Linked DNA regions of Mus musculus: region 1 is reported to be linked to region 2. The links are microRNA targets in miRTarBase. Many come from high-throughput screens and were not tested one by one. Region 2 holds a microRNA gene; the other region holds the end of a gene's coding sequence.
What was found. The annotated mature microRNA mmu-miR-878-5p reads UAUCUAGUUGGAUGUCAAGACA and lies in region 2 at 1,496-1,517, shown strand. An mRNA with a match to its seed (bases 2 to 7 or 8) in the 3' UTR can be bound and repressed. Matches are read on the target gene's strand: a 7mer-m8 pairs with bases 2 to 8, a 7mer-A1 pairs with bases 2 to 7 and ends in A, and an 8mer does both.

Region 1: miRTarBase lists Prokr2 as a target of mmu-miR-878-5p. Seed matches in the 3' UTR shown: 7mer-A1 at 2,274-2,280.

Annotation. Positions count from the first base shown.
Region 1 is chr2:132,369,242-132,374,309 of GRCm38, reverse strand. It overlaps Prokr2 (prokineticin receptor 2), which reads left to right. Exons shown (of 3, transcript NM_144944.3): 3 at 220-3,981. The coding sequence ends at 916. Among named protein-coding and RNA genes, the nearest start is that of Prokr2, 14 kb to the left of the region's middle.
Region 2 is chrX:66,797,998-66,803,070 of GRCm38, reverse strand. It overlaps Mir878 (microRNA 878), which reads left to right and starts at 1,486; the gene lies at 1,486-1,563. Mir463 (microRNA 463) reads left to right here and starts at 3,774; the gene lies at 3,774-3,848. It overlaps Mir880 (microRNA 880), which reads left to right and starts at 2,464; the gene lies at 2,464-2,541. Mir881 (microRNA 881) reads left to right here and starts at 1,050; the gene lies at 1,050-1,127.

The sequences.
Region 1 (5,068 bases), not on the chromosome of region 2:
ATGTCAGGCAAGGGAGAACAGCCATTGCTTTAACCCAGAAGCTGTTTCCATTAAATCAGTGCTCTAAAAGCCAAGTGGGGCTGTTAGTGAGCTAATGCTGCTTAAACCTGGGTCGGAGGCAGCTGGGGATTCACTGTGCGGTTCCAGCTCTCCGGGCTGGTTAAAAAGCAATCGTGCTTCGAAATATAACCATCACTGCTGGCTTCCCTCTCCCTTCAGATACCTCGCTATTGTCCACCCTTTGAAACCACGGATGAATTATCAGACCGCTTCCTTCCTGATCGCTTTGGTCTGGATGGTCTCCATCCTCATCGCTGTCCCATCTGCCTACTTCACCACAGAAACCATCCTCGTTATCGTCAAGAATCAAGAAAAAATCTTCTGTGGTCAGATCTGGTCGGTGGACCAGCAGCTCTACTACAAATCCTACTTCCTCTTCGTCTTCGGGCTTGAGTTCGTGGGTCCCGTGGTCACTATGACCCTGTGCTATGCCAGGATCTCCCAAGAGCTCTGGTTCAAGGCTGTACCTGGCTTCCAGACGGAGCAAATCCGCAAGCGGCTGCGTTGCCGCCGCAAGACAGTGCTACTGCTCATGGGCATCCTCACAGCCTACGTGCTGTGCTGGGCGCCGTTCTATGGCTTTACCATAGTGCGAGACTTCTTCCCCACGGTAGTTGTGAAGGAGAAGCACTACCTCACCGCCTTCTACGTCGTGGAGTGCATTGCCATGAGCAACAGCATGATCAATACTATATGCTTCGTGACGGTCAAGAACAACACCATGAAATACTTCAAGAAGATGCTGCGGCTCCACTGGCGGCCCTCTCACTACGGGAGTAAGTCCAGCGCTGACCTCGACCTCAAAACCAGCGGGGTGCCTGCCACTGAAGAGGTGGATTGTATCAGACTAAAGTAGCCTTCAGGTGTTGCCCAAGGAAAAATTTAACATTCGGTACTCAGTAAATCACACACCATCAACCACTCACAAGCTACATGGAAAGATACGGCTGTATTCACGTTCTCCTGCTCTAATGTATCAGGACGCTTCTATGTAATAACATACAGCACAACTGATGTCTGCATAACATCTTAGAAGGCAGACACAAATAGTAACAAGTGATGTGGACTGAATGCTTCTGTCTGCAAACCACACCAACCAATTATTCAAGGACAAGAGCTGACATGTGAGAATTACCTGCTATGTGCAAAAACAAGTTACCCCCCCAAAAAATGATAGAAGCTATTTGGAGTTATTCAGCTCTATCTATCTATCTATCTATCCATCCATCCATCCATCCATCCAGGTCACTAGAAAGAAGTCACAAATGACTAGCCAGAGTCATGCTACATATTCTTTCATTCTGTATCTTTTCTGCACAGAACTGTCAAAGGCAATAGAATAAAGCACCTAGACATACTAGAAATGTAAGGATAACTCCATCAATAGGGAGACCAAGGCCTCATAGGAAGAGGGTCCATATAGTATACTGACTTTCCCCACTCCACACCAGTTATCTCCTTAGATATTCTGTACTTATCTGCAATGATGTAATTTCAAATGAGGAAAAATAAGGGGACAGGCTTTACCACAGATGTATCAAATCTCATCAAGCCCATAGGGCAAAGATGGGAGGCTCCTGACACAAGAAATGTATCCAGTTCTGGATAACTTTAATGCCAAGCATTTCAGGGCTCTGGGGTCTTGGAGGAAGAGGACACAGAAAGAGCCGAGGTTTCCAGTGGCAATGAGTATAATCTGTCCATTTGCTATGATTTGGACAATTTTCTAGAACATACTCCGACTTACAAAAGGAACTCTACTTGAGATCCAAAGATCCGGGTAAAAGTCCTAACCCCAGGACTCATCTCTGTGTGTCTCCACTGTAATGAAATGGAAATAATGAAAACGGATCATTAGGAACATCAGCCCGGCGAAGTCATGGTGTGGATGTGATTTTCACCTCTTCCTTTGTGAAGAATGAGGTCGTGAAAAGCTCATTAGAGGGAGTTTGGAATGGAGAAACAGCTCCACACTTTTCATCCCTCTTCTTTGAATCAGAGACCACTAAACTCATCTTTGAAGTAGCGTATCTATAGTGAGGCATAAAGGTCTCCCTGTCACAGAGTGCAATCAAGAAGATAGAGTCAATGCCCATACCCTCAGCATCCCTGTGGTCTTAGACAGTCTTCCCAACAAAGCACTGGTGGACCCCAGGACTGAATTCACTTGTATTATTATGTCATCTACTGAATACTAGGGTTGATCAGGTTAGCTAGATAGGTATTTTCTTCCTCCTTCACAGCCCCATATGTATCCCTCCCTTAAACTCAGTTACTAAGGAAGACCTTCTTAAACACAGGAGAACCATTATTCTGTCCAGGACACAAATAACCTCTCCAGTAGACACTGTACCCTTCACATGTCAACAGAATTTGCCTCCTTCTTGTATTTAAACATATCATCCTCCTTTCATTTAGATTTAACCAGAAACCATTCCTGTAAATTTCAATGTGTTTGTGATACCCCACTGTAAAAAGCGTATGCTGTTATCATATGGAATAATTAACATACAGAATTGTAATCGTAGTTCCCAAAAGGTTCCCTACTCGTGTTGTATCTTATGTTTATATGTTTGATGTAAATGGAGCTGTGTAGCTGTCTAAGCAGCTCAAGCCTGAAATGAGGGAATGTCCAATGGTGTTCTTAGAGCAGGGCCATCTCAGGCTAGCAGCTGGCCTCAGTCTGTGCTCTCTCGGGAGTGTGTTCTTAAATATGAATTAGCAGCAAACCATTATCCTATGTGCTCCCTTGTTTATAAACGATTTTTAAAATGCAGGCTTCTTTTCACTTAGCGAATATTTGTGCGTCTGGCTAGAACTAAGGTAATAAGTTAATTACATTTTTCAGTCTTCCCAAGACTAATTAAGGGTAAGATTAAGACACTCTTAACACGTCAAGATACGTACACACTTATGCCTCCTATTTCATGGAGAAAGTTAATATCACTTAGCAAAGCCAGATCTATTTTCTTGGCCACATTATGAGAAAAGATGGTTCGACAATGAAGCTGTTACAGATTTTTGTTATGCATCCAACATTTAAAATAAGTTACTTCTAAATTTGGAGAAATCAAAAAAAAAAAAATGCTTCAGGCCCTCAGGCATGACAAACAACTCCAGACTTCACAAGGAACAATGTGACATTTGGGAGGTAATTAGAAATCTTAACACAAGTTCTGTTTCTACTTAAAAATGGTGGCTCCAAAACCCATCTTTGCATCCAACCATATACTCCCTTGGCCACAAGAACACACACACACACACACACACACACACACACATCACTAGAACACCATACCAAGAAATGCCTTGAGAACATTCAGCTCCTTTCTTTGGTGGATCTGAATTCCGAGAAAGGAAATCACCTATAACAGTACACAGTTGATTCTTTCTAGAGCTAAAGCCTTGCCCTAAGATTTTCTCTCTAGGACAATGAGCAGCTTTCAGTGACTGCCCATACTTGAGTCCAAAGGACCTGGCACACTGTGGTATCAGGTTCCAGAGTATGTAGAATCTTAAGTCTCTAGGTTGCTTTGCTTGTTCATTAAAAAGAAGTTAGATCCCCATTCTGGATACCTTGTGGTATAAGGTAAGATCAAGAGACAAAGTGTGGGTTGTACACAGGGATTCCTTGTAGACGGCTGTTGGAGGTTCATGGTATCCAACTCTATCCAGAAGATGTTCAAAACATAACATCCAGTTCTTATAAATGAGCATTTCTCTAAAAAGTTTTCCATCCATAGTGCATCTTAATCAATTTTAATTTTAACATCTACTCCCTTTTCTACATACAGTTGAAAATATTACGTATGTGTATCCTCATGAGTTGTTATGATATATATGCATATGCACAGTCTCATTGTTGTAGGATTGCATGTTTGTAGATTTGTTCACAAACTAAAATATATTTGTAATCCCCAAGTTAGTGTTCCTGATGCTTTTATTGGCATTTGTACAGGCACACAAAACAGTGACTTTTAACTGCGGTTGAACAAAGCAGACAGATCTCTCTCTGGCTTCTCAGGCTGGCTCTATGGGTACAACAGGCTATAGATTTTGCTCCCGTCTCTGACCACTGGTTTCTGTGATGGCAGACAACATGGGCTTTAGCATCCTGTCACATATGCCTTCAAAGTACATTTAGGTCCTGTGTTGTGTTTGGAGGCCTTTTCTCGTTTGTCTCGTTTTTTATAGGGCCCCAAGTGACCTTAAGTGATCTCTCGTGTTCCCAAGAACAAAACAGCTGTGATATATCTTAAATAGAAAATAAATGTTAGAGAAGCTTTATTTTAGTGGCATTGGCATGAAGTCAATGTCAAGCAGGCAAGTACATGTTAAATAAAGTTATATTTAAATAGAAGCATGCATTTAAAAGATTGTATACAAAATGTGGCCAGTAGCCTCAGGTGTGTGATCCCAAGCTTTCCTTGTGAGCAACTGATCAATATTTGCTACTTCTTTCATACATACAATATTTTCTAATTCATGTTTAATCACTTTATTGGGCATTCTTGTGAAATGTAAGGATTAAGTCCTGTTTCTTGAGTTCAAGCCTTGTTTGTCACAACACATAACTTAGAACTCTAGCTAAATGAAGCCTGAAGGTCTAAGATTTTAATTAACCAAACTGACATTTTTCTTGAAGCATCCCTGCCACCACCTCCTTCCTAGTCTGCCACTTTGATGCAAATTAAAACCCTTGACGAGGGAGCCCTATAATGAAACTGTACGCACTTACCCAAGCCACAGCCCACACCTTCTGCAGATCACATGTCCTAAGAAAAAAGCTTTCTCCTTATTAAAAATCTTAGAGCTAATGGCTGGCAGTTCTGTAGTGCTGTTACAGACAGGGAAGAAGACACACACACACACACACACACACACACACACCCTCTTCATCCCACAGTGGAAAGGAGGATGGCACTGTCAAAGACTTTAACTGAGTGTTTATGTTGCATTTCAGAAGAAAGAGGGTAATCTTTGCAAAGCCATGGTGAGGGACTGTTGT
Region 2 (5,073 bases):
TAGAAGTATGTTTCCTAGTTTATCCCATGCTCCTTAAAGTTTAAAATCAGAATAACTTATTCATTATACATTAATGTTCTTGTTTGTATGGGAGCAAAGTGTTGTTCCAGATTGAGTAAAATGCAACCAACTCTTTTAAGAGCAAGCTTCACCAAGTGTATTACTTTATTAAACTTCTGGATATTGACCTTTGGATAGCTCCTAATTTCTTTGGCTGGTCTTTAATAATCTTAAGTAGTCCTGTGATATTTCTAGTTCATAGGGTTTATTAATGATGACTTTATTTCTATTCTTTGTTCAGTTGACTCACATGTATTAGACAACATAAAAATACTTTACTTATAAAAATTGGAAATGAAATAAACATGCATTATTGGTCATTCGATTCAACGAAGTAAGTAACAATATAGGATCAAAGGCTTTCATTTGTTATGCATGATGAATGACCATATCGTAAGCACAATTAAATATGTTAGGAATAAATTAATTCAGGGTTCAGGAGTCACACAGGACTGATAAATGTTCTAGTGATATAATAATAACAAGAATCATCACCTTCAAATACAGCAAAGTTGTTCTCTTTGCAGTGCCTATATGTCAGTGTCCTTTATGCATAGTTTAAGTCTTAGAAAATAGCATCCTATGTCATGGATGACCACAAATTGAACCCAGTCTATTCAGAATCATCATCATGCAAACTTAATATAGTGGTATATTACAAGATAGAGGAAAGAGGCATTGTGATTATTTTGATTCCTATTCTTAATCATTAATTGTCTTAGATTATAAAAAAAAGGACAGGATTAAGTATATACCCTATAAAAAATAAAAATTAGTTAAAGATTATATTATTGATTCTCCAAAACATCTAGTTTGTAAGAATGTATGTCAGAAGGCCTGTGGTTGTCATAAATATGATTGGGAATGAGATTTTAGAATATGTGGTCACATTAACATTCATATTAACAATCTGAGTGTGGTATAATATGAAATATGCTGGTGTTTGGGACAGGCTGATGCTATTCCTCATACTCAATGAACAAATTGTGTGCAGTACAATATTCAGAGAGATAACAGTCACATCTTTTCTAAAGTAACTGTGTCTTTTCTGAATAGAGTAATGTTCACCAAAAACAGCCTTAGTGATATACTCACTGAAGATCACAGGAGGCACTGTATCATAACACATCCTCAAGATTGATACGGCGGTAACTTCAATCGTCATTGGGGATCATCTTAATATACAAAGATGCAATCTGTTTATTTTTCTGGATAGTATAACTATTCACTGAAAAGGAAAGTTAGTTACAGGACATGCTTTATGTAAAAGCGTGGTGAAGGAGAGTGATTAATTATTCTCAAAAGTAGATGGACAAATTATGTCAAAGGATAGTTATCATGTTTTTTTTTAATTTAGTCTCTGATAAAAGCTGAAGTGTATGATAGAGGCTTCTTATACAGCAAGTTAATGAAAAGAGTGTTGTGTGCAATGCTTTATCTAGTTGGATGTCAAGACACGTGAAACTTAAGTGCATGACACCACACTGGGTAGAGGAGGGCTCACAGTGTTCCTCATTTGTTGTGGGCTTGGGTGGTCACAGTGCTGATAAATGAATGCTGCTGTTAGTTTGGCTGCACAGAAATAGAACCATGCATATTGTGTTTCTAGGTGTATTTATATTGTTACCTTTACATAAGGAATGTTGTGTTAGTGTCAGAAAGAATCTCTTTAAGTCAGACAAGAAAAAATAAAGTACATTAACACAGTTCCCAGTACATGAATACATTTATAAAACCTCCACTCTTTATTTTGACAGTCATTTCCCTTAGAAGAAGGCAAGTAAAAGGATTTATGGTATGAGAAACACATACTAAAGGTGTTTGATAATATGATTTTAAGCCTAAATTACAGAAGAGTTCAAACATTGTGGTTTGATGACTATGTAATAAAATGGGCAGGAGATGAAGGAAGCTTTTGTGACAGTGTCTACTTAAATACAATTATGCTCATTTTTATATTAACATTGGTACTGATGAGATGAAGTCCTTATGACCATGGATTTTCTTAAAGGAAGGTTCAGCAAGTAACTCATATAATGGCCTCTGTATGTAACCAAGGTAACTTGAAGTTCCTATTTATAGAGGAATTTTTGATATCTGATGGCTTAAATTCTCTTTAACATTCTTTGGACAGTCTGTTCTTAATCTTATGAACCTCATGTTAAATAATGTAAAGAAAGGTGCTAACATAAGGTACTTTTATTAGTGCATACATGTATAAAGTTAAATACTATAGATCATAGAATATGAAGAGTTGTGAAAGATAAAGTGCAGTATAGTCCTTTTAAACCTATGAATAAATAAGGTATTGTTGATGTATCTAACTATATTTATATAATTGCTGGAATATACTGAAGATTGTGGGATCAAGCTGAGACACAGGACATCACTGAACAAACTGTGTGCACTGCAATACTCAGATTGATATGAGTCACTTCCTATTGCATGTTACTCCATCCTCTCTGAGTAGAGTAAGGCACACCAATCACCAGTTTTGGTACCTGTAAATGTCTCATGTATGGATATGGTGAGGTTGATACATGCATGCATATTAGATGTGTTTTCCAGTCTTCAGCTTCAATGTATTACACTTCACCTTAGATAGCTTGGATGAGTGAACAGACTACAGAAGGATAAAAAATGATCTTTTTGGGAAATACTACGGTTCAGAGAAAATGGCAGTCAGCTAACTTTCATGCTAGTGAAAACCATTCTTCTGAAGCTGGAGGAATGTTAAAAAGATAGGTTCTTGATGGAATCCATGATGATGCATGAACAAATTAGACTAGCATTTAGTTATCATGTGAGTTGGTAACTTGATGCAAGCTAAAGATAAAAAGGGGATTGTAGAGGCTAGATTTCAACATTTCAACATTTACATATAATGTATGCTGCTTTAGCTAATTTTCTGTGCACCCTGGGAAACATAAAAGATGATATCCCATATTGGGTAAGGCAATATTTAATGAAGATTTCATTTGTGTACTCACCTTATGAATATATACAAGTATGTAAGCATAAAAGTGCAAAACATTTAGTTTATTCTTCATATGAATTAATAAAATGAATTTAATTTTACAGATACAGTGTTGGCAATCATCTACGCAAACTACAGGTCACTGTATCTACCATATATTGTTCTTATATGGATATTTAAAACAGAGTTGTGATACTCATTTCTTCCCTACTCCCTCACTTATCCTAGAATCTTACCTTGCTCCACAGTTAAACAATGCCCCCCCCCATTAGTCTCCTTTCCTCTTCCATACCACCTGTGTTTTGTTACCCTTTTAGTAAGCTTTTCTCACAACTCTCTACCCAGTGGCCTTTTTCTATTTTTATGGGTTCTGTAGTTATTCCTTGCTGAACACACAAATCTAATAATTATTTTAATACTTGCATGTTACAGGAGGAAGAAAAATAACTTCAACGAGAAATTCTAACTTATATAAGTGAAATTACAGTCCCCCGTATTGTCTTGGTAGAGAATACCATTAATTGAAACAGAAGACACATCAGAGGATATTCTCTTGGAGGAATTTTTGGTGACAATTTGTAGATTGTGTGTGTGTGTGTACATATATGTATATATATTATACACAAAGTATGTCAAGTTTTAGCAACAATGTACAATTGGTACTTTGCTAAAAGATAAAGAGGATCATGGAAGCTACATTTGCAACATTTTTATATTAAAGGTATGATGTACCCTGCTTTACCTAATTTGTTGTCCATCATGTAAAACATAAATGATGATAGACACCATATAAGGTAGAGGAAGGTTCACTATGTTCATCACCTGGAACATCATTGTGGTATAGAAGCATTAACCCTTGTTAGAGCTTGCTGGCCTTAATTTGGCATTTGTATCTAAAGGACCAAAGTTTAGTAAGGTGCATTTATTCTTTTTTTTCCCATTTTTTATTAGGTATTTAGCTCATTTACATTTCCAATGCTATACCAAAAGTCCCCCATACCCACCCATCCCCACTCCCCTACCCACCCACTCCCCCTTTTTGGCCCTGGCGTTCCCCTGTACTGGGGCATATAAAGTTTGCAAGTCCAATGGGCCTCTCTTTCCAGTGATGGCTGACTAGGCCATCTTTTGATACATATGCAGCTAGAGTCAAGAGCTCCGGGGTACTGGTTAGTTCATAATGTTGTTCCACCTATAGGGTTGCAGATCCCTTTAGCTCCTTGGGTACTTTCTCTAGCTCCTCCATTGGGAGCCCTGTGATCCATCCATTAGCTGACTGTGAGCATCCACTTCTGTGTTTGCTAGGCCCTGGCATAGTCTCACAAGAGACAGCTACATCTGGGTCCTTTCAATAAAATCTTGCTAGTGTATGCAATGGTGTCAGCGTTTGGATGCTGATTATGGGGTGGATCCCTGGATATGGCAGTCTCTACATGGTCCATCCTTTCATCTCAGCTCCAAACTTTGTCTCTGTAACTCCTTCCATGGGTGTTTTGTTCCCAATTCTAAGGAGGGGCATAGTGTCCACACTTCAGTCTTCATTCTTCTTGAGTTTCATGTGTCATTCTTCTTGAGTTTCATGTGGCATTTATTCTTTAATGTTAACCTTGCAGACACATCAAGATTTATAAACATTCAGATACAACAATCATTACATGTTTTTAAATTACAGATTTAGTTCAGTATATTTTTAAATTATAATTTAATTATAATATTTATACCTCTTATTTTTCCCTCCAAACACTTTCATATTTCCCTCCCTGCTCTCCCTCAAATTGATGATGTTTGTCAATAATTGTTACTGAATGTATTGATGTATTTTTATATAGCTATTTATTCCTAAATATATTCTGCTAAGTCTGTATAGTGTTACTTGTTTGTATGTTTTCAGGATGAATGTTTTGCACTAGACAACCAAATGGAATGTTCTTCCATGAGTGCTGGGAGTTAGGAGACATCTCCCAATACTGGCTTTTCTAGTTGTGTATAGTTCTTTGTGTAGGATTGAGGAATCATGAGCTTTTCCTGGTTTAATC